2 linked regions of the Callithrix jacchus genome follow. Each later gene encodes a partner of the first gene's protein in a complex. Links are inferred from orthologs where the notes say so. Each region holds a gene or a part of one and is shown on either strand. Other genes may lie near its edges. The genes, in order: NUP58 and NUP62.

Region 1 (3,823 bases):
ATTGATAAAGCTGGCTTAAACAACAATCTCCACTAAGGAAAAACACTGCATTATATAATCTAAAAATTTATATTACTTTAATTCATTATATTTAAGGAAAGAGATCTTCCAGGCAGAGCTCACAGTGAACTGAGATCGAGCCACTGTACTCCAACCTGGGCAACAAAGTAAGACTCCACCTCAAAAAAGAGAGAGAGAGAGAAAGAGAGAGAGAGGGGTCTGCCACAATTCAGTGAGAAAAACAGAAAAGGAACAGATGACAGTCTATGATTGCGCCTATCACTGGCTCTTGATTCCAATTCCTTATATTTCTTTTCATCTTAGCGTTTACCGTTTTTTAAGATATACTACCAGTGATGATCCTTGTAAAGGGAGATATAGGACAGAATTTAGGAAAGAATATCCCAAGCCTACTCTCTACCAGTGTGATCAGATCCTCCTCACCTGTGTTTGTTCCTCCTAGAGTGAACCCAGTAGCAGGTTTAGATCCAAAGAGCCCGGTTCCAAAACCACTTGAAGGAGCAGATGTAGTTGTTGGAGTTGCAGTACTTCCAAGAGTTCCAAAATTGAGCCCCACAGAAGGGTTGCTTATTTGAAAAAACAGAAACAAAACAAAAACCACAGGCACAAAAGGAAGTCTACTAGAGCCAATATTTACTTATGAAAAATAAAAATTACCTCTTCAAGATAATTTCATTCATGTAACATATCTAATACATTGTCATAGGACCCAAAAACAACAATAAATTTACCTTCAACCCACCAAGTTTAAGGAAGAACGGGTAGTTTCTGTTCTTCCTTAAAAATGAACCCACATGTAAAAGTCTTAAAAAATATAGTACCAGATTTCAAGAAAAGCAGTCTATAGCAATAAGGATTTCAGAACTCAAGGTAATCATAAGTAGAGATCACAATTATTCTTTCACCAATTTTTGAAACCTAGCATATTTTTAAATGGCCATAGGTATTCTAAGTTGTCTTCACTACCTCTCTGTTGCTACATTACCACATTCATGGAGCAATATGAGGTTGGGGAGAGCATATAGTTAGGTATCTTACCACCAAAAAAAGCAAAACAGAAAAACTAGTGGGGACATTTCCTGGCAAAAGTTAAACACAAAGCAAAATCATACTGTCTCGGGATTATGTGTTCAGTAGCAGAAAATCTTCAGAGAGTGTTAAAAAGCTTAAGAAAAGAACAGCTGATAAAAACAAGTGAATGTGAACAAAGTTCACAACTTTTCAACTGCTCTCATTAAGACTCAAAAGTTCAGATTTGCTATCTAAAGGTGGGAAGACAAATTGTGAAAATAAGTAAAAAATTTTGACAAGTTGACACTTCAAGAATTATGTAGAAGAGTTAAGGGAGCATAGCATAATGGGGAATCCTCTTTATCCTACATATTTACAGTTATTACTTCCCTGACTGTCCTTCCATAAAGAATAATCATGAGAGAACCCAATATCATTTTCAAAGTCTCAAAAACCCTGGAACGTTTCAATGAAAGAGGAAATGTAAGAGGAACCCAGTAGTGTGGCTGGGTTCCAGTACCAATTCCCCCATGTTCTGGTATTTGGATGCCATTCCTTAACCTTTCTGAACCTCTATTTCCTCATTTGCAAAATGGAAATTAATAGTACCCGCTTAGCAGAATTTTTTAAATATTAATATTAAATTAATTAATAAAAGGGTTAAGGAACTGCACAGGGTGAATTAACTTCAGTAAATGTTGTTATGACTGTTATCGTTAGGGATACTTATAAATTCAACTAAACATATTATGTACAAGGCGTTATGCCAGGAATAGCGAGGGAGCAGAAAGATGACTAAACCCTTACTTAAGGAACACGCCATTTACTGGGGGATAAACAACACAAATAACTGTACTCCAAGCCATAAGAGTTCTCCAAGTTACTTGGGTCTGGGGGTCTTCAATTTCATAATCAGCCCGAAAAGCCACTCAGGTTTTTGCAAACACTGGGGGACAAGGGAGAAGGAAATATTCAAGCAGTAGAAATGTACACCTTCAGTAAGTTTATAATTACTATTAGGCAGATTATAATCAAGTACCAAATGATAGCAAAGAGATACTGCAGAAGTTTGAGGCAGAGCTAATCACTGAGATAAGAATGGAGACAGAGGAGCTTATTAAGGGATAGAACTTGAGATGGGCCATCCATACTGAGTAGGTAAAAGGAGAGGAAGTACTTAGTTTACCACTGATCTTTAAAATATGTTTGTGTGCACCAGAGAATTCGAAGTCGAGGCAGAAGGTAGAGCAGGGCTGCAAGATCTCACCAACAATTAAAACAGATCTTGGCCAAGCTGAGTGGTTCATGCCTGTAATCCCAGCACTTTGGGAGGCTGAGGTGGGCAGACTGCTTGAGCCCAGGAGCTTGAGACCAGCCTGGGCAACATGATGAAACTGTCTCTATGGAAAAAAACTAGAAAATACCCCGAAAAACAAAAATTAGCCAGGCGTGCTGCTACATGCCTGTAATCTCAGCTACTCAGGAAGCTGAGATGTAAGGATCACTTTAGCCCACAAGGTGGAGGTTGTAGTGAGCTGAGATTGCGCCACAGCATTCCAGCCTGGGAGACAAAGAGAGGTCCTGTCTTAAAAAAAAAAACCAAAAAACAAAAAAACCCACAGATCTTTAAACATTTACTCTGAAATTATAAGGTATTTTTAAGAACATATTGCTACATTCAAAACTAAGTGAGATATCACACATACAAAAACCTAAGTGAGCACTACAAGCAAAAGAATACAGTATGTAATGGCTATATCCAGACAACATAGGTAGGACAACCATAAAAGAGGCATATATGCCAAAAACATTTAGCTTAGCTGGTGGTAGTCTGATTGCATTGTTATTTTGAAACTGTTCTGTGTACAATGTGGAATAGAATAAATGGCTATCTGGGGGATATTAAAACACTATTGGCAAATTTTGAAGACATATAATTAGGAAAATGGTTATTAAGCTTTCCTTATTCCCAAACAAATCAGTGATCTCATTTTTTTAAAATTGCTATTTTGGAAATATACAAAAGATGAAAAGTAAACATTTGTATTTTTACACCATGAATTAAAATCTAAAATTTCTTGACAACAGGCAGGGCATGGTGGCTGAGGTGGGGGGTCACCTGAGGTCGGGAGTTCCAGACCAGCCTGGCCAACATGGTAAAACTCCTGTCTCTACTAAACTTACACACCCCAAAAAAATTAGCTGGGTGTGGTGGCGTGCCTATAATCCCAGCTATTCGGGAGGCTAAGGTAGGAGAATCACTTGAACCCAGGAGGCAGAGGTTGCAGTGAGCACCACTGCACTCCAGGCAGGCTAGGTAACAAGAGTGAGACTGTCTCAAAAAAAAAACAATAATAATTGTATACATGTATAATTTCTTGACAACATAACTTGAAGATATTATGAAGTAATAATGGAAGTTGAAAATAACTTCATAACTTGAATATATTATGAAAAAATAATGGAAGTTGAAAATACTGCCAAAGAAACATATCAAAATGAAATCTTATTCTACCACAGAAGCAAAAGAGAAATTTACTAAATTCAAGAAAAACAAAAGCTACCCTAGACTTGACCAATTACCTCCTCAAACCAGTGTTATCTGCCAGGGACTTTATAGGATGTGCTGTAGAAAAGCCAGCTTGACTCCATCACATCAGGAATGTTATTTTAACTTGCCCAGCTGGCCCTAATGCAGACTTCATAGCTAACATAATAGCTAACATTTATTGAGCACTTAGCAAGTGCCAGACTTGATATTAAGTATTTAAATGCTTCATCTCACTCAGCA
Region 2 (2,990 bases), on another chromosome or scaffold:
AACTCCTGGGCTTAAGTGATCCTCCCACCTCAGCCTCCCAGGTCACTGGGACAACAGGCACATACCACCACGCCCAACCAACTTTCTTGTCGTATTTGCAGAGATGGTTTCGCCATGTTGCCCACGCTGCTCTTGAACCCCTGACCTCAAGTGATCTGCCCATCTTGGCCTCCCAAAGTGCTGGGATTACAGGTGTGAGCCACCTCGCCCAGCTGTGTTTGTGTATATTCTATGACATAACTGTCACGAACACCTGGGGCCCCTTAAGGACCTGAGGCCACGGCAGGTTCACTCTCATGTCCTCTTCTACCACTGGCTCTGGCCCTTCTGAGAGCAAACCACAGTTTGAATTTGTCTGTTCCTCCTCGTCAAACACGGCTTCATCGTATGCTCCTGTGTCTAAGCCAGCACTGCTTGGTTAGCTTGCAGGAGGCTTTCACATGAATGCCACCCTGGAGAGCCTCCTGGGATCCGCTCTTTCTACTCAACCTTCTCCTCCTAAAATCCATCCATATGAAGAACAGCTTTTTTGGCTTCACAACACATTTATTTAGAAAAGCAACATACGGTCAGAGAATGCAGCAAAGCGTAAAGAGAAATACAGAAGACACTTAGGATACAGCCGCTGGCTTCTGCCTTCCACACACGGTGGATTTTACTGTAACTGACTAGGGGAACTCTGGTGCCAGGAAGTTCACAACCAAGTCTGTGGCCATCACTGCAGCTGTGGCCAGTTCTGTGGACTGGCGTTATGTTGGGATTCATTGTTCTTTCATTTAACAAATGTGACAGGGACTGGGCTGGGGACGCACAGGAACAAGTGGGTCTCTGCCCGTGGGAGCTCAGAATCTAACAGTGAGACAGAGGCGCAAACAGCTAGCAAGGGACAGCGTAGAAAGTGCCACCAAGGTGCAGGCTCAGGGTGCTATGGGGACCTGCAAGGCCAACGGACTGAGCTTTGGGTAGCTGGGATGGCTTCCCGGAGGAGGTGAGGCCAGAGGTGGGGTAAGCCTGGGCCAGGCACAAGGCAGGCCTCTCGGCTCCCGTGTGTGGTTCCTCAACACCCTGTGTGCAGGCCCCTCAGCTGACCTGTCTTCTGTGAAATTCTCTATCCCACTGTCTGTTCTATTCACACTGTGCTTTGACTTGGTGGTCGGCTTTCAGGAACCCCCATCTTATACTCCAAAACTAGGCTACTGTTTCCCGGGAGGTTCTTTTTTTTTGAGATGGAGTCTCACTGTCACCCAGGCTGGAGTGCAGTGGCGCAATCTCGGCTCAAATGACACCTCCTGGGTTCAAGCGATTCTCCTGCCTCATCCTCTCCAGTAGCTGGGATCACAGACGCACGCCACCACTCGCGGCTAGTTTTTGTATTTTTAGTAGAGACAGGTTTTACCATGTTGGCCAGGCTGGACCTCAAACTTCTGACCTCATGTGATCCGCCTGCCTCAGCCTCCCGAGGTGCTGGAATTACAGGCATGAGCCACCGCGCCCAGCCTCGGAGGTTCTCTTACGCTTGGTGTTTTTCACGGCACCTGTGACTATGCTTTGGATGGAGCAGTTGCCCACCCGACCCTGGCTGGGACCAAGACTGTCAGCCCTTCTCCAGCATCTGACTGAGGCAGGATGAGATGGGTGTTTGCTGTGGGTAAAAAGGGGCCAAAGCCACTGAAATGAAAGCCACAGAAGCCACACCCATGAGGCTGCTGCCCGGGCAGAGGGCTCAGAACACTCCCTAAATGGGGAAAGTCAAAGCACAGAGCAGCTGTCTCCAGGGCACAGTCACGCGAAGGAAAGCAAGAAACAAGTATGCTGCTGTAACCCCACACCAGACCACAGGGCACACCCCCCCGTGGGACTCCCTGGGGACCCGCGGTGGCTCAGTCAAAGGTGATGCGGAAGCTGCGCTCCTGCTCCTTGCGCCGGCCCTCGCACACCTTGGTCACCTCCTCCACCTTCCTCTGCAGCAGGGCGGAGTTCTGGTCGATCCACTGCAGCGAGTCCATGTGTGCGTTGAGGATCTTGCAGATCTGCTGCAGCGGGTCGCTGGTGTCGGCGGGGGCCCCGGACGTGTTCAGGTGCTCGATGATGTCCTTGAGGTCCTGGGCCATGCGCTTCAGCTGCGCATCGATGTTCTCGGCCAGCTTGTAGGTCTTCTCGCGCTCCTCATCCGCGTGCTGCAGGTAGATGGTCCCGCTCTGCTCCTTGACCAGCTCCTCCAGTGGGCTCAGCAGGTCTTCCAGCTCCTTCTGCTGGGACAGGATGAAGTCGAGCTCCTGGTCCAGCCTCTTCTGGTCCAGCTTCACCTTCTCCACTTCTCGGTGCAGGGTGGTGATCTTCTCCCCGTTCTCGATCAGTGTGCGGTCCCAGGCGTTGACCTGGGTGGCCTGCTGGAGGAAGTGCCGCTCTTGGTCCTCCAGCTCCAGGCTCCATTTGTTGATCAGGCTCTCTAGCTGTGCGTAGGTCATGGCGGAGGTGGCGGCCACCCCTGCGGCTGCACCAGGGCCAGGTGGAGCAGTCACGGCGGCTGCCGTATTGCTGGGGATCCCGGCTGGCGCCAGTGGTTTTAAATTCAAGGCAAAGCTGGTGCTGCCGGTGCTGCTGCTGCTGCTGGTGCTACTGGTGGTGGTGATGGCAGCAGTGGATGTTGTTGTGGAGGTGCCGGAAGTTGCTCCGGGTGCTTTTAAGCTGAAGCCCAGTGTCCCAGTGGCAGGGGCTCCTGCTGTGGTTGCAGGGGTACAGAGGGAGAGGCCGGTGGTGGCGGACGAGGTTGGAGCGGTTGCTATTGAGGCAAAGAGGGTGGGCCCAGCACTGGTGGTGGTGGCCATTGGTGTGGGCGCAGCTGGCTGAGTGGCGCCTGCTGTGGTGGCTGCTGGCGTGGCCGGAGTGAAGGACAACCCGGCAGGTGCCGTGGGCTGGGCTGAATTCCCCGCTGAGCCAATGTTGAAACCAGAGGTTTGGGCCGTGCTTCCACCAGTGAACAAGAACCC

The links.
Region 2: NUP58 (region 1) and NUP62 share a complex: the UniProt entries of both Homo sapiens proteins name them as parts of the p62 complex. The link is inferred for Callithrix jacchus from reciprocal best matches to the Homo sapiens genes NUP58 and NUP62.

Annotation. Positions count from the first base shown.
Region 1 is NC_133506.1:144,542,810-144,546,632, reverse strand, and holds part of NUP58 (nucleoporin p58/p45), read right to left. Parts: intron 588-3,823; coding exon 445-587; intron 1-444. UniProt on the Homo sapiens protein: Component of the nuclear pore complex, a complex required for the trafficking across the nuclear membrane.
Region 2 is NC_133523.1:43,683,264-43,686,253, forward strand, and holds the end of NUP62 (nuclear pore glycoprotein p62), read right to left. Parts: coding exon 1,881-2,990; 3' UTR 526-1,880; downstream 1-525. UniProt on the Homo sapiens protein: Essential component of the nuclear pore complex. The N-terminal is probably involved in nucleocytoplasmic transport.